Callithrix jacchus: one gene and its partner. The protein of the gene in region 1 purifies or fractionates together with the protein of each later gene. This does not show direct contact. Links are inferred from orthologs where the notes say so. Each region holds a gene or a part of one and is shown on either strand. Other genes may lie near its edges. The genes, in order: MAGEA10 and QSER1.

Region 1 (8,710 bases):
GCTTCTTGCATTGGACCCCACATATTCTGTTAGCTAACAATGAAAGGTACCATCTCCACAGGGTTTCCATCCAACTTACCCATGTCCACACCTTAGGCCAGCCCTCTACCCCAGACAGTCTCTGGTGGCAACACAGGCCAGTGATTACAGCCCCAAGTCACCTGTCCCCTTGTGTGCCAAGAGCTCAGAAGCCACAGGAGGCCATCTGAGTCAGGGACACCAGCTGGATCATTTTCAAGGCATGTCCACAGAAGCCCTTCATCCGTAGAGTCTAAGCTGATTCGTCCTGGGGCACTATTCCTCCAATTTCCCCTCCATGCAGCCATACTACCACCACCTTCCAATGATCATTGGCATTCCTGGCAAGTCTCAGCTGTTGGTCATCAGTCAGCAACCCACTCACATAGCCCAACCTCTATGAAGGGTTCCCAGGGGATAAAACGCCAGCCCCACAGTAGGCACAAAGACAGCTCCCAGCCTTGGGATGCTGGCAAGGGTGCGCAGGATCACTGGAGTGGTCAAGAGAGATAGCTCACCCAGAATGATGCAGGGAGCCAGCCATACTCTTCCTGACAGAAGGAGGGGAATGTTGAATGAGCATAAGGTGTCTTGCAAGCAGCTGATGCATTCAGCTAACAGGCCTGCCCATTCAGATCACATAGCCACATCCTGTTGGTGATGATGATGTCCAGATTTCCCAAGCGTACCTCTGTTTGTTGTCCCGTCCTCCTTCACCACTTCCCACTTCTCTCCCTCAGGTCTCTGCTCCCATCGGGCTGAAATCTGGATTCAGAGTTCTGAGTGCCAGCCTGCCTGGGGCTCTGTGGACTTGGTTTGACATGTGGTCTTGCTCATGGACTCTAGTAATTGCTCTTCCCTGCATCCTCCCAATGTACCTTGTGAGCAGAGGGTGTTTTGTCTACTCTCCTTCCCGGCTCCTAACCAAATCATTTGAAAGCAGAGGACAAGTTGAACATCCCTTTCAACATAAATTTCACCATAAATTTGACTTTGGACAATGATAGTTAGACAAGTGCTATAAGAGGGATTTCCAAGAATGGTACAGAACAGTCAGAGTACTTCTGTAGGGTGTAGGCATGCTCTGTATCACAGGGTAAGCAGGTGATTCTGGGCTTCTCCACTGTGTTCTGGGCACATCCTCCAGCAGAAACCAAAGTGACAAGCTAGGCAGCAGACCAGGTTCCAGATTTGGATAGGAGAGAACACCGGGGACAACCAGGGGAAGGATGCTGTGATGTGGGAAAGGGCTGGTTCTGAAAAGAAATGCCACCTCCTGGGTGGAGTCAGCTCTCAAGGAACCTGGGGATTGACACAGGAGTTCCCTGGGTTAATAAGGTCCACAGGCCACCCTGAAATGGTGTTTGATTCTCATTGTCACCTTATCTAGGCCTGTTACTGCTACGTTGGCCTCAGAGTCCTTATTTTTGTCACCTGAGAAACATGGTACAGTGCTGAGAATAGAAACGAAGTACTACTCAGGAGGTCGGCCTCAGGCTGAGAGGCATGGGAACAGCATGGGCTCTACAGGAATTCAGACCAGGAGTCTTGTTCCAGCCCTGTTACTTACTAATCACGTGATTCTGGAAAATGCCCAAGCCCTGTGAGCCTTGGGTTCTTTATCTATGAAGCAAGTGTGATAAGCCTTGCTCAATGGCACTACTGGAGTGTGTGCAAATAAATGAAGCACCTGGCTCAGGGCCTGGGGTATTTAGAAGTTTAATGAATGGCAGAGGGCTGTTATTTCTGATATCATTTGACCCCAGATTCTACCACAGTCTACTCTGGAATTTTTGTTATCATTGTTATCCAGTATATCTCAGAATATTCAGCTCAATGGGACACAGAACCCCAAATCAGTCACAAATGTTGCTTCATATATAAAATTCAGCAGATTTTCCCTCTTAGAGGGTATATTTTCAAATTTTCATGTGCAGGAGTTTCTCCCTGCTGAATGCTGCTCAAAGCTCATGGAATTTGAGTCAAGGATCAACTCCTTCCTGCTCTCCAAGCTTCTTTTCCATCCAAATCATGATTTTCATTCATATCATCACCACGCAAAATCTAGCTCTTGCTTAGTGTTGTTCAAATTACACTAAAAGTAACCCAATTAAAATGTTTCTCTAATGGAGTCAGCTCACTTCTAGGCATCAATTCATAGGCTTATTGATTATGAGACCCTTATCTCTCAGGAGACTCTGCATATGATATGGACATCTATTATCTAGTTATTATGCAGTGTTCAACTGCACTGAGACAAGAGTGCAGAACACTTTCCATTCCTGCCCCAGGTGGAGACTCCTTTCTGTTCACCCAAAAGGAACTGCTCAGAGCAGTTTTGCATCCCAGGACTTTCTCTCAACTATGTGAGACTCTGAGTCTGGCACCACACAGCTTCTTTGGATTCATTTTCACCAGAAGGAACAGCAGTTTCTCAAAGCCCCAAAAGTCCTGGTTCAGGGGATGTACACTTGACTACTCTTACCTACAGCCCAATACCCTCATCCCTGTCTTTCTTTCCTCTAGGTCATAGAGCACATCTCGCCACCTTATTACTTGACTGCAGCCCCTAGATTCTACTGCCCTATGGGTAAAGGTGGTTCTGGCTTAATTTAGCATTTCCACTACAGACCCATAGCTTTCCATAGACCAGATGCTCAGTGGATATTTGGGGAGGAAATGCACAAGTGAGTAAAGGTTTCATTTATTACAGTTTAATTTTGACTCAACAAGATCCAGGGATAAAACTTCTAATTTTGCAGGATGATAAACTAAAAATAACAAAGAAAAATACCAACACTTAAAATTATTTTCTCTATTTTACTAATATTTTTTCATATTTCCAAGAAAATTGCTATTCCAATTCCATGTTATTTTATTACAGATTACAAATAAGATGGAAGGTTTCCTAATATGTTTTACAAAAGAGCAACACTGTTTCTTAAACTGGATAAAGAGAAATACATGTGTGACTTTAGATTCTGAAACTCATAAACATTCTAGTACAAGTAACAACATTTTAAAACACCAAGAAGAGTCTGGGTGCAGTGGCTCACACCTGTAATCCCAGCACTTTGGGAGACTGAGGCGGGTGGATTACCTGAGGTCAGGAGATTGAGACCAGCCTGGCCAACATGGTGAAACCCTGTCTCTACTAAAAACAAACAAACAAACAAAAATCAGCCGGGTTTGGTGGCATGCACCTATAATCCCAGCTACTCGAGAGGCTGAGGCAGGTGAGTCGCTTGTACCAAGGAGGCAGAAGCTGCAGTCAGCCGACACTGCGCCACTGCACTCCTGCATGGGTGACAGAATGAGACTCTGAAAAAAAAAAAGAATAAAATACCAAGAAGAAAAGCAAAGAAGTCCCCAAGTTATCCAAAGAGAACAGTAAGACAAAGATGTTAGGCACTGTATTTTCCTCAGCCTCAACCTGGCCCTGGACTACATACATCACTGACTTCTCTTGTCATTTGTTTCCATAAATTAAAAACAATGACATGTAATTATAGATATTTATGAAGTACAATTTGATATTTAGATTCATGTATATGTAGTATAATAAATCAGGTAGTGTATCATCACCTCATGCACTTATCACTTCTTTGTGGTAACAATATTGAAGAGCCCTCCTTCGAGCTGTGTTATAATACATAATATATTAATGTTTACTAGTCATCCTACTGTGCAATAGAAAACTAAAACTTATTCCTCCTATTTAGTTGTAATTTTCCATGTTGGCTAATCATTTCCAAGCCTATCTTCTCCTTCTCCCCAGTCTCTGGTAACTACTGATCTACTCTCTACTTCCATAACATCAACTTATTTTTTAACACTCCACATATGAGTGCTATAATGCGGTATTTGGCTTCCCTTTGAACACACAGTGAAGAGTCTATCCGACTTTATTCAGGATAGGAGAAGCTGGCTATGGCAGTAGTATCATCTGTGGTGGCAACAATGGCCTGGGCTCTCTCTTCCTCATCTTTCAAAGCCTCCTCATACCACAGTGGGAAGGATCTGGGATCACTCCCATTTACCTTGGCCAAAAATTTCAGGAGACTCATCTTCCTAAGTTCATTGTGGGCCCTGGGACCCCAAAGGAATTCATACTGTGCAGGATCACTGCCGGGCACCTGCCGGTACTCCAGGTAGTTTTCCTGCACCCAATCTTGGGTAAGCAGCTTCCTGGGCTCCCCATAAATGAAGTGTTGCATCCCATCATACAGCCCCATCATATTCAGTGCTTCCCAGATGACCTTCTCAGGGGTGCAGTATCCCTCTATGAAGATTATGCTTAGGATAAATATGAGAATGCCACTCTTTGGCATGCTCTGGACATCACTCAGCATCCCATCATAGGTAAGGCCCAGGGAGATGACAAAGACAAAGGATTGGCCAGTGGGGTCTACTTCCTTTATATCAAGGCCAAAGACCAGCTGCATGCACTCAGAGGCTTCACTGAACATCACAGGAAAGTGGTCTTCATAATTTTTTAGGACATTCTCCAGTATTTCTGCCTTTGTGATTGGCTCCTTCATTTGATACTTGAAGAGCAGGAACTCCACCAAATTCATCACCTTTTCATCTATCTCGCTTCTGGATAAAGACTCAGTGTCTGGCAGGGCCTGTAGGGTGCTTGGATTCTCCTCCTCTTGGTTGCTAAAGCTATCAGATTGGCCTAATGGAAGGGACGCAATGATCGAGGGGGAGGAGCAGGCTATCTGAGCACTCTGGGAAGGATCTGATGTCTCATCATCAGCAGAAGCCTCCTCTGAGGTGCTTGGTATTAGAGGATAGCAGGAGGAGGAGGAGGAGGAAGAGGAGGAGGAGGGAAAAGAGGATGGAAAAGAGGAGGAGCAGGTAGAAGTGGATGAGGAAGCATCCTCCTCCACAGCCCGGGGAGCCTGTGCACCCTCGAGGCCCTGTGTCTCACTTTGGGATTGAAGGTCTTCTTCAGGCATGAGACGCCGACGCTTTGGAGCCAGAGGCATGATGACTCTGGTCAGTGTAGCAGGTGGGAGTGTGGGCAGGAGTTGAGTGATGGGAACCCGAAGGCCTGGGGAGAGAGGGAGGATGTATGTGGCCACTGAGAACCACAGCTGAGAACCACACCCTGGAGGTTCTAACAAAGGCCAACTTACAGGTCTCCTTCAGTGCTGCTTTGTGGTATTCCACAGCTCTTGACCCCTTGGTCTCCCTGTTCCCTGAGAACCTGAAGAAGGAAGTGAGAGATAGCTCCTCAGGATGCAGCCAGCAGAGGCCACAGCTCCAGGACTGGCAGTTTGGTAGGTGGAATTGGTGCAGTGGGGTTCACTTTGCTATGGAGCAGGTGGGGTCCTTGGTGCACATTCAGGTCATGCACCTCACCTTGAAGCCTGGCACTGTCTGGGCCCTCTCTGTTCTGTGATCTGATAACACTGTCTTAGAACAAGGCCTCACCTCACAGTCCCTGGATCTCCTGAAAAAGGAACTGAGGAGCCCTCAGAGTTCAGGCTGCAAGCACAGCCCCAGCCTCTGAGTGCTGTCAGGAGGATGGGCTGGACTCTGTGAGTTCCCCACTACTCTGGAGTGGATAGCCCCCTCTATGTTCACACAGGGCTCTTACCTTTCTCCTGGAAGAGCCTGGACCCTGCCCCTTTGCTGACCTAAGAAATTCTCAGATCAAAAGCTCACATCCCTGATACAAAATAGAAGACATGAGGGGACCCAGATCTGGTGGAGCCACAACTATGGAGGTCCTCCCAGAAAGGACAGCAAGAGGTGACCATATTCAGCTGAGTCCATGCGTCCTGGGTGAGGAGCCTGCTTGGTCCTCATCTGGATGCCTGATGGGGCCTCAGACCCTCCCTTTGTTGACCTGAGGCCACTTCCCTAAACCAAGGCCCTATCTACAGAAGACATAGAAAGAGGAAGTGAGGGGAGTCCAACTACCCACAGTTCACTGTGAATTCCCACGGCTGACAGAAGGGTCAGGGTGTTGTTGGGTCCTGTGTGTTTGGAAAATGGGGTTCCCTCAGTCCTCACCTTGACTCCTGGCAGGGTCTGGGACCCTCCCTCTGCTGACCTGAGTGTGGCCCCCTTAGACCAACACCTCTCCCTCTCAGAGACCAACTGTCCTTGTATAAGACAGGGCCTCAGCCGACAGCCCTGACTAGGTTCTCCAGAGTGACAGTAGGTTCATGGCAGATTTTTGTGGGGCCTCCATCTGTGTTACAGCCTGGGGGCACCCTCAAATTTCCCTCAGATTCCTTACCTGGACTCTTGTCACATCCTGCCACCCACTGTGTCTGTCACACAGAGGGGCTCCCTGTGTTGACCTGAGTCACACTCTGAGAGCAAGGTTCTCACCTCCCTGAGATTTAAAAAAAAAAACAGTAAGAATGAGGCACATCCCATCCCTCCTGTGGGGTGTCCACAGCTGATATCTCCCCTTTACAACCAAGACTGCATTTCCCTGAGGATTCCTCAACTTCCTGCCTGTAGTTAAAGTGAGCTGGCCACTTAGTGCCAATCCTGATCAGCACCCCCCAGAGCTTAGAACAGGGGACAGTCAGACTCTGTGGCATTCCTTCTTTCTGGGCTGCAGATACCTCCAGTCCTCACAAAGGGGGCACACATTGCTGCAGATTCTGGGACTCCTCCCTCTGTTGACCAGGTGTGGAACCATGTGATAACTTCTTAGCAACCCTTCGGCCAAGGACCCCAGCTCCCTGAGACCGAGGAGGCAGAAATAGGGGAGGAGGCACCACATGATCACACTTGCATGGGATTCCCAAAGCTGACAGAAGGAGCGGATTTGGCGGGAGCAGGGAGGGGGAGGGGGACAGGGCAGGGACTTCCTCTATTTGGGTATCCTCCAAGTATTCAGCTTCACTCTGACAGAGCCCAGCCCTTTCCCTCCTGCTGAATCGTGTATGGGTCTTGCACGCCAAGGCACCATCTCCCTGGGATCCCTGGTGAGAAAATGGGGGCTACTTACCTTCCTCACAGTCCTGCCTGGGGTTCCAGAGCTGAAAAGAGGGACAAGTTTTTTAGTTCTGAGATGCAGGGATCTGCTGAGTCCTCCCTCAGGGTTCTGGGACTCCTCCCCCTGCTGACCTGAGACTCCACTACTCAGACCATTGCCCTCTCCTCATTGACACGCCAAAGGCACAGCAAAGACACATCACATGGGCCACCGTGCTTGAAACCGCCCAGAGCTGAGGTCTCCATTGATCTGGACTACAAGTTCCCATGAGTCCTCTCTCTTCTTCCTTCTCTTGACTCCTGGCAGGATTGCTCTCTCTTCCATCTTCCCCCCCCGACCCCCCCAACCACCGCCATTGACCTGAGTCTCTGTCCCTTGGATTCCGGAGGTTGAGTGAGGAAGTGTCTCACTCTGAGACAGGGGTGGGGTGGGCATCCTGTCCTAGGATCCCCTCATGCCTCCCTTGTCTCCCAGCAGGGCCTGGGCCCTCTCTCTCTGCTCCCCCAAAAGCGCATTCATAGTACCAATCTCCTTTCTTCTGTCAGCCCCAGATGCGGAGGTCAGAATTTGTATTCCTGGTCCATGCCCAGGAGTTCCCAGGACTGGCATCAGGGGCAGATCCCCTCCTGAATGTGCTGACCTTCATGCTTAGCAGAACCTAGGCGCTGCTCCCTCCTAATCAGCTCTGCCTTAGTCACAACGAGCTCTGATTCCCAGCGTCCCCTGCGGCTTAAGCGGCGGGAGAGAGTGGGGGCGGGGATGTGACCGACCAGCCTGAGAAGTCTGCCCTCAGGTGGTCCAGGGCTAGAAACAGGCAGCGCTGGATTATTTAGGGCTTTCTGTCCGGGTTGGGGGCGTCCTCATTCCTCCCTCAGCCTCTCACCTTGCCTCCTCACAGAGCCTGGGCCCGCTCTCTTCAGCCGATATCAAGCCTGTCTCTCAGAACGAGAATCTCGCGTCTCTCTGATCCCTGAGGCGTAAGTCAGTGGCGTCACATCCTGCCCCTGGGGCTTCCCTGGGTTGACAGCAGGGGCGGAGTGGATTCCGCTGCAGTTGCGGTGGGAGTGGCAGAGTAGGAGTGGGAGTCCAGATGGGGTGGGGTGGGGCTGAGGATGGGGTTCCGGCAGGGGTAGTGGTGAAGATAGGTGTGGGGGTGGAGACTGGGATGGGAATTGTGGGGATGTGGGTCGTGGTGGCGGTGGGGTCTTTCAGTCATCCCTCAATTGTCTCAATCCTGACTCCTGGAATAGCCTGTACCCCTGTTTCATGCTGAGGATGTCTGCTCCCCTTATATCAGGTTTCTTGACTTGGAGTCCTCTGAGTTGACAGTGCAGGGAAGGTTGTGATCAGGGTGACAACATTGCCAGGGTCTTCCAGGGCTGACAGGAGGGGCTGACCTGTATTCTGTGGCCCCTTTGTGTAAAGCGGGTGGACCCTCAGTCCTTACTCAAGAGAGTCCTCCTCCTGGCTTCTGGCTCTTTGATGAAGTGATGGGTGGGAGATGCTCTGTTTCTGTTACCTCTAAGCATTTTCCCAGCTGCACTTCTTGCAGAGCACTGTTGCAGGTCCCAGGCCAGATTGTGGTGACCTCTGCGAGAAGATACACATCTTCCCACGGGGGCTCTTCCCAAGCCGGAAGTAGACGTGTCATTTTTTTTTTTGCCCTAAAGGGTATATTTTCTACAAGAAAGAGGCTGAGCATCGGGGTGTGGAGAGGTCCTA
Region 2 (9,314 bases), on another chromosome or scaffold:
AGACGGGATTTCACCAATCTGGCCAGTCTGGTCTCGAACTCCTGACCTCAGATGATCCATCCACCTCAGCCTCCCAAAGTGTTGGGATTACAGGCGTGAGCCACCGTGCCCAGCCGAGCTTTTTTTTTCAGTTGGAGAAAAGGCATGCACATTTATTAACATTCACATGGGAGAGAATCACAGAGTGATTACTCCCTAGCTTTATTCAAAGTAGAATATCACGTTGAGAACCATTTGGTTATATCTACCTTGGGGGACATTTTTTAATTAATGGTAAAAATATTATACATTTGTTTAACTTTTTCACATCCCAATTTTATGTGAACTGAATGTAAAAGTAAATATTGACTTCAATTAGGTGAAAATGAAGGTCATTATATTGAGTTCAAAATTAAATGACACTAAACTATCGTACTAGTCATCTATTCTTCACTGCCATGTACTTGCAGAAGGATAAAAAAAATTAGAAGCTAGTAAGAAATCCGGTACTAAGAATTTGGTCTCCTGACTTTTAGCCCAGTTTTTGTTTTTGAGATGGAGTCTTGTTCTGTCCCCAAGGCTGAAGTGCAGTGTCGCAATCTCGGCTTACTGCAGTCTACATCTCCTAACTTCAAGAGTTTCTCCTGCCTCAGCCTCCCAAGTAGCTGGGACCACAAGCGTGCACCACCCATATCCGGCTAATTTTTGCATATTCAGTAGAGACGGGGTTTCACCATGTTGGTCAGGCTGGTCTCGAACTCCTGACTTCAAGTGATCCACCTGCTGCAGCCTTCCAAAATGCAGGGATTTACAGGCATGAGCCACGGCACCTGGCCCTAGTTCAGTGTTTTCTACTTAACTGCTGCCTTCAAATAAATGAAATACCATATTTTGTGGAGACAAAGGAACACTTTTAGATAGGTATTTCCTAAAGATTTACTAAATCTTAAAAATTACTAGGTTTGGCTAGTCACTATAGAAATGTCAAACCAGTTCTCTAACAAGATTTCTAATTCTGTTATTAGTTATTCTGATAATTGTCACATAAAGCAATTTGCATTTCTTTCTTTTTTTTTTTTTTGAGACAAGAGTCTCACTCTGTCTCCCAGGCTGGAGTGCTGTGGCACAATCTCTGCCCACTGAAACCCCTGCCTCTCCTGCCTCAGTCTCCGGAATGGCTGGGATTACAGGTGCCCGCCACCACACCTGGCTAATTTTTGTAATTTAATAGAGACGGGGTTTCACCATGTTGGCCAGGCTGGTATTGGACTCCTGACTTCAAGTGATCTGCCTGCCTCTGCCTCCCAAAGTGCTGGGATTACAGGTGTGAACCACCATGCGCAGCCTTAGCAATTTGCATTTCAAAGTCAGATTATATAATATTAAAAGAATGATTTGAAGTAAAACATGACAAATACTAGATTAAGAAAGATTTTCTGTTCTTTATAAATAGTGTGCTTTATCTTGGTGATGTTAGGAGTCCTGAAGCCTTTTCAAGGTAATGATGTGTTCTGCCTTTTTCTGAAATTGGTGTACTTCAGATCATCTTAGGCATCTGTGGTCATTGGAAAGATTTTGATTTTCTTATTTCATCTCCACTGACTTAACGTGTGTTGTTTCCAAATTTAGAACCTTTAGTCTTCTATTTGTTGCAAATAGTAATTCTGGATCCAAAAACGTCAAGTCTGTGCATGTTTTAAATGGAAAACACCAGAGTATATGATAAGGGCACAAATAATCTGAGAAAGGAATGAAGCTAGAATGTCATGGTAGCTCCCTCTGGTAGAAAACGCCAAAAGTGTTATTGTTTCTATCAAATAAAATTTAGTTCCCTCCTACACTTATACTAAGAAGAATTTTGGTTGCCTGTTTTTAAAAAGGTACCATTTTCAGGGCCCCCATACCAGGTACTCGGAAACAATAGATGAGTTTGGAGAAGAGTGGCTTTAAAGGTTGTGACTGTTTATAAAACAGTTGAGCTTATCGAATGAGGACTGTAATCTGAATCGTAAATATAATAGGAGGACTTCAACATTTTTAGTGTCAAAATAATAAATGATTAGGAGCTCAATGTAATTTTTATAAAGTCATAATCAAACTAGTTAAATGTAGCTTTAGGAAGTAAAGTACCATTCAGTTATTGTTTGTAGCTTTTCAGTCAGGCAGGATGATTTGCCAAGTAGGTTAGGCCATAGATATGCCCATGGCTTTTATTTATTTATTTATTTTTTGAGACAGAGTCTTACTCTGTCACCCAGGCTGGAGTGCAGTGGTGTGATATTGGCTCAGTGCAACCTCTGCCTCCTGGGTTCAAGCGATTCTCTTACCTCAGCCTCCTGAATAGTTGGGATTACAGGTATGTACCACCACACCCAACTAATTTTTGTATTTTTAATAGAGATGAGGTTTTGCCATGTTGGCCAGGCTGGTCTTGAACTCCTGGCCTCAAGCAGTTTACCCTTGGCCTTCCAGAGTGCTGGGATTAAAGATACGAGCCACTATGTCTGGCCACCAATGACTTTTAAAGGATGGAGTGGAATTGGTTTTGCCACAGGACCACTGTCAAAAACCCATCATGCTCTGTTTTAGGATCTTATCTTACAAGTACTTGTCAGGCAGTCAAAATAAGCAAGAGAAGTTGTGAAGCCAGAGAAGCACTACAGTGCCACTTCTCTTCTGTCCTCATTTTCACCAGAGGCAGATGATTTCTTTATAGCAAGGCCCAGCCACATTTCAGAGGGCTTTGGTGAAACATACATGTTTCTCTTTGTCCTTCCTTGAAGCCAGAGACACATTACTAGAAAGAACTCTCTGCCCTGTTCAGGGTTCCTAGTGTGGTGTGGTGTTGCTTAAATAAGCAGGTCATAGAGTTGGCTCACTTTCAAGGGATGGGGAAATATATTCCATATCCAATAGGAAGAGCTGCAAAGAACTTGTGACCATGTTTAACTCCCCTGTGTATATATATATATGTGTATGTGTATATAAATATTTACCACATCCCATCAGTACACACACACCCCTCTGCAAACAGGTGTTTGTCCACACACACACATCTAAATTTTAGATAGCTGGAAGTAGTTTAGGTTAGTTTTCTTTTGGTGTCGGTTATTTTGCTTCATTGTTTTACAGAATGCTTTGGAAAGTTTTCCTGAACTAACAATAATTACTCGAGATTCTAAAGCAAAGAGTGGAGGAACTTCTATTTCTAAAATCAAAATGAATGGCAAAGCTTATAACAAGAAAACTCTAAGGACTTCTAAAACAACCATTAAATCTTCACAAGTAAGTGTAATTATTAATGTAACTATACCTTTTCTAATTGTTAATACAATTTGCAATGTAAAACATTGAAACAAGCAAATATTTTATTATGTTGTCATTAAGCGTGAAGGTTTTTCAGGTAAGAATAAGCAGCTCTGGCCTGAGGAACAGGGATGCAGTGTTACTTATTTTTTTTCTGTAGCATAGCATCAGGCATATAATATGTGCTCACAAATTTATTAAATTAACTAATATGGAAGAAATCATCTCATGCTTGTGTTTATATATTTGTAGGTATTTTTATTTTTTTAACCCATCGGATCTCATGTAGTTTTTTTTATTTTTTAAATTGTGTATATTTATTATGTACAAAATGTTTTGAAATATGTATACATTGTGAAATGGCTAATTCAAACCCATTAACATATCTAATACCTGCAATACAAGTATATTTGTAATTGGATATGCAGGCACATAGATAAGTGTGTACAACACATTTCGTAAAAAGATGAAATGTTTATTTCATATCTGCAAAGTCATTAAAATTGGAATTTGCTCATTTTCAAACATAGTATAAATTGTTATAACCTTTTCAGAAAACAGTTTGTCAGCATACCAGCTTCACAGCAAAAATGTATTCAGGGCTGAGCACAGTGGCTTTCAGCACTTTGAGAAGCTGAGACTGGAGGATCACTTGAGCCCAGGTGTTCAAAACCAGCCTTGGCGACAAAGCAAGGCCCCGTGTCTACCCTGAGGGGAGAAAAAAAAATTAGCCAGACATGCTGCCGTGTACCTGTAGTCCTAGCTACTTGTGAAGCTGAGTGGGAGGATCACTTGAGCCCAGGAAATGGAGACTGCAGTGAGCCGTGATTGCACCCCTGCACTTCAGCCTGGGTGACAGAATGAGATACTGTCACAAAAAAAAAAAAAATTGTGCCCCTGCAGTCCAATCCAGATGACAGAATGAGACACTGTCTAAAAATATATGTATATATATATTCCATAGAAACAGATTCACAAATGCATAAAAATACATGTCTTTGCTCATTGTTGAATTGTTTATAAGAGCAATCCAATTATTGCTGTTTGTTAAATAGCCACCAGCGTGGTGTTGGTTAAATAAAGAGCCACCTAATGTCATACTATGTGCTTTTTATAAAGAGATAGATTTGTTCATTCTTTGAAAAAAAAATTCGAGTGCCAACAGTATGCCAAATACTGCTGTACTACAGATACAACAGTGGAAACTGGTTAAAAGTCCCTACCCTCATATAGTTTATATTTGGGGAGGATGGGGAGGGACAGCTATATGTACTAAATGAAAAAATAGCCTATTCTTAGGTCAAAAACAAGTTGGAAGAAAGAAGAAAAGTTGCTGGACAATATGTATAGTATGATTCCCTTCTCATTACAAAAGTAGTGTCATTAACGTACATGTTAGACCTAGGTGGCAAACATTAAAAAATATATAACATGCCATTAACCTTGTTTAGCTCTGAAGCAGATTATAAGGAGCTTTTATTTTATAAATCATCTCATATGTTTATTGTTTAAATTTTCCTGTGATGCTTAAGTTTCAATAATACATATTTATATTCAGGATAAATAATATTTTAAAATATAATCTAAGTTCTTATTTTGAGTCTCTCCATATTAATACAAGTTAATACCTACGCATATTAGTCATTTTTAACATTGCCATTGAGACTTTATTTTCCTCAAAGTGTTCTTACTCAGATACTCCATGAAATCTATCTATAAACTTTTTTCTTTTTATAGGAGTTTGCTGTTGATCCAGAGAAAATACAGTTGTATTCTTTATATCATTCACTCCATCATTATAAATATCATGTTTATCTGATATGTAAGGATGAGGTAATTTCTTCTCATTTATTTAAAAAAGAAATGTATGTTTTTCAGAATATTAAGGAGATTCTAGCTATAGTATTTTTGAATGTTTTAAAGAGAATTGTGAAATACATGTGTGTATATATTTTGCCTATGTATTCTGTAAATAATGACTCGATGATTTGTCATTCTGAGTCTCTGCTATGTTTTGTGCTCAGATTTATGTGAGCCTCACCACCTCTTGTAGGAACTATAGTTGGTAATGTTTTGAAGCTGCTGGTGCTTGCTTTACATCGCCATAATAAATGATGTGTTATTGCATTTTGTTCTCTCACAGTGTATAATGATGTTGCTTTAATTCACTTCAGTCACTGCTTTGATATCTCACTGCCTTATTTATTATTTAGAATGGCCTTATCCCACTTAGTTGCAGGGAAATGGGGTTTTCTGCCTTGGCATGAAAAACTAAAAGTTAAAATTTAATTGTAGCTTTTACATTGTTCAGAGATTATACATGACAATATTATCACCGCATGGATGGGATATAAGCATTAATTTCCACAGACAGGTTAAAGGTTGTAGACAATACTACCTTATTTGACCAGCACTGTCACTTCTTTTAATTAAAAAGGGTTAAGTTGGCCCAAGGCTTTATCTAATGTGTTTGACAGTATTCTGGTATGGAAAGATGCTCATAAATCTAACGTTTGTATAGCAAAGGAGAGAGCAAAGATGGTGATGCAAAATAGGGTGACTGTTTTTGCAATGCTCTAAAATGTAGAATCGGCTCTAAAATTTGTCATTTGGCTTCTAACATAATTGGAAGAAATAGAGAAAGTTTGAAGTACTTTTTCTAGCCTTCCTTTCTGCCCCCTTGGAGCCAAAGATGAAAGTATTAGATCTCACCCAAATTTATGTGAAATCATCATTCTCCATGGATGGGATTAAGAAAAAATAAAATATCAGTACTTGCAGGTGAACTTAAGTATGAAGTGATAAGTACAAGCTAATGTGGCAATTTTCTTTGTTTTAGATTTCTTCGGTGCAGAAAAAAAATGAAGATTTAGGACAGGAGGAAATTGTTCAGCTTTGTATGAAAAATGTAAAATGGGTAGAGGACCTCTTTGAAAAATTTGGAGAACTTCTAAATCATGTACAGCAGAAGTGTTCCTAACTTTTCCACAAAAGTCCCATCTTTTTTATAGCACTAATGAAATCGCAGATGTGGGGTGGTCAAAGATAATCAGCTGTCAAGTAGTGGTCTTCTGCAGGCTGGCCACTTCCATCATGGAACTGTCATCACCACCTCTGCTGAAGGACAGTGGTGCTGCCTTTAGGAAGGAAGTCAGTCCTCTGGAAATGGACTTAAGTCCCACCACATTTTTACCTAATGAATGATTTTTCTATTTTGTAAACCATTGGGTAACTTGAGTTTTATTTTAAGAAACATTTTTTGACAAATGATGAAGCATGCACTAAGTATAATTTTTCTTTATTGCTAGAGAAATAACACTTAAAGTAACGAGTATTAGTTTTTTTTTTCTGACTCTGGCTAAATACCAGAATGACAGAGAAGTGGCAAAAAGCGTATGTCTCCACTCACATCTGGCCACAAAACCAGAAATACTGTACATTATGTAAACAGGTCTGCTGTGATGCGACATCCTGTATAAGAATATCATCAATTTAAAATATAAAATTTGGAAACTATTCTGCTTTACAGACTTCTTTTACTCTTAACATGTTCAGGAAACTGGATGTGGAATTGGTGCAATTCTCTGACTGCTTTTTGTGTCAAATTATATTGTGATAAAAAAAACAATGACATACTATTTTCCCTATTGCAAAGAAAAGTATTTTCATTTATACTCTGTTTTTTCCTTTGGAAATTTTCAATTGTACATTTTATTTCACTAATAGTTGTATTTTTCACAAGGAAAATGCTGTGGTTATAATTATGTTGGATATATCTCTACAACACCTTTTTTTACTTTCAGTAAATCTTTAGTTATATGTTGAATTTCTATTGTGAATTCTATCTTGAGGTAACCATTTTTGTTCATACAGATTTGCTTCAGTGTTATCCAGAATATGCATTCAGTGCTAGATTAGTTTAGCTTTATAAACAGTGCTGTGTTTAACATTGCAGTAATTTTCTAATTCATAAAATAAACTTCTTATTAACTAGCACTTGATTAACTGCTGAGGTAAAAATCTAACTACATTTACATTTTGAAGAATAAAACTGATAATTCGACTATTTGCAGTGTTAAACACAGCGTTCTTAACTCTTAGAACTGGAAGTTGTAGAGCTCTCCTTTTGGTGCCTTTCCAACCTTTATACACACTATTGTAGCTTTCTTAGGTTTGATAGGTAGCATTTCAAGTAGTTTAGCTGAGACAGTGAATGTATTAGGTTCAACATGACCTTGTGTTTTATTTGCGTTTGCCAACAGGATGCCTTATTTGTTTGAGAAAAAGATTTACTAGTGTCATTCTAAACTATCTCCTTTTTTAGGATTCTAAAGAATTTAATCATCATCCTTTTGTTTATTTTACCACCATTTAGTGCCTTAAATCCTATCAAGAAAGCAGTGTTACTGCTCAATGCCCAAATAAGACACATGGCTATTGCTATTGTCTTGATTTTGAATTAACAGGCCAACTTTTTATACTTAAAACCTCAGTAAACTGGCAAAGAATTGAAAATAATGTGACTTGATTTGAGAATAAACATTGTAGTGTTGGGTGAAAAATGAGGATTTGAGTTAAGCTTACATATTTATTTCTGATGGTTATCTTATTAAAAGCAATAATCCTTAATACTGTACTTGCCATTAGACTAGGTACTCAGTAATGGAAGTTTCTCTCAAGGGTTAAATGTTCTATTTTTGAAAGTTTTTAAAAACCTGTTTGGGTGGTTTATTTTGAAAACAAAAGTAACCTATTAGATTCATTTTGCCTAACACATATGAGAGACGCAGAGTGTCAACAGTGGGAGCATCATAAAATGAATTTTCCAAGTGAAGAAGAGTAGGAAGCAGCTGTATTTCTTTCTGATAGTAGTGACTCTGGATAGAATTGATGTCTTTCATTTCCAAAGTGCAGAGTAGGGAACTACATCTCCCAATGTAGCATTGTAAATATATATCTTTATATTACTCTTCCAGCTTACGTTCCTGAGTCATTGATAATTTAAGTATTTTTAAAAGCCACCTTACATTTAGGTAGCTCTTGGAGTGAATGTTTGAATTCACTAGCCACATTTTCTTCATGATATGCCTCTCGGCAAACAAAGATATCTCTTTAAGGTTAATCTTACATTTCCCATAGAAAATAACCTATTTCCTTTTGCACTGCGGTTGCCCTCAAACTGCTTACAGTTGTATTCACTTTAGTACAACAAAGGTTTTTATAATATGGGAGGCCAAGTCTATGGTACTGCCTCAAAGAGACCCTATTGTTTAGCTGCATCATGTTCTCTCATTTGATCCATAGAGCATAGGGAAAGACATCAACCTCAGGCCTTAGAGATAAATGGAAATGTTATTATGACAACCATTCATGAGTTATCACTTTGTATGAATTTAACACAGTCATGCGTTGCTTAACAACAGGGATACATTCTGAGAAATGCATTGTTAGGCAATTCTGTTGTGCAAACATGATAATGTACAAACCTAGATGGTATAGCCTACAACATACCCAGGCTATATAGTAAACCTGTACAGCATGTTACTGTGCTGAATACTGTAGGCAGTTGTAACACAATGGTATTTGTGTATTTAGACATAGAAAAGGGACAGTAAGAATATGGTATTATAATCATATGGGACCACTGTCAAATATGTGGTCTTTGACTAAAAAGTTGTTCTGCAACGCATGACTATAAATACCTAGCTGGTTAGCATTTACATTCCTTGCCAGGGAGTTTGAAATTTATAATAGAGAAATAACTTTAGGTTTTAGGTAGAGTTGAAGAGGTAAAGCACATGTTGCCACAAGCCAGGAAAGTATTTTTAAGAAAGATTGGATTTTCCTACCTTTAGAGATCTAAAAATAATTTAATATAAAAAATCAGTTTGTGTTGGTGTTTATTACTAGTTCAGATGAGTGGCTGCTGAAGTCATAAATGTAAAATGATTTATGAATTAGCACAGTAAGTTGACACCAGAAACTGCCCATTTCTGTATCACACTATCAAACAGGAAACATTGGTAAGA

What was found.
Region 2: the proteins of MAGEA10 (region 1) and QSER1 purify together in Homo sapiens (affinity purification with mass spectrometry; 3 studies listed by BioGRID and IntAct, counting the BioPlex papers as one, with this or other methods). This does not show direct contact. The link is inferred for Callithrix jacchus from reciprocal best matches to the Homo sapiens genes MAGEA10 and QSER1.

Annotation. Positions count from the first base shown.
Region 1 is NC_133524.1:148,403,282-148,411,991, forward strand, and holds MAGEA10 (melanoma-associated antigen 10), read right to left. Parts: upstream 7,954-8,710; 5' UTR 7,872-7,953; intron 7,032-7,871; 5' UTR 7,001-7,031; intron 6,374-7,000; 5' UTR 6,275-6,373; intron 5,308-6,274; exon of another isoform or gene 5,234-5,307; 5' UTR 5,163-5,233; intron 5,078-5,162; 5' UTR 5,013-5,077; coding exon 3,924-5,012; 3' UTR 2,821-3,923; downstream 1-2,820. UniProt on the Homo sapiens protein: Not known, though may play a role in embryonal development and tumor transformation or aspects of tumor progression.
Region 2 is NC_133511.1:98,338,772-98,348,085, forward strand, and holds the end of QSER1 (glutamine and serine-rich protein 1), read left to right. Parts: intron 1-3,111; coding exon 3,112-3,264; intron 3,265-5,022; coding exon 5,023-5,319; 3' UTR 5,320-6,087; downstream 6,088-9,314. UniProt on the Homo sapiens protein: Plays an essential role in the protection and maintenance of transcriptional and developmental programs.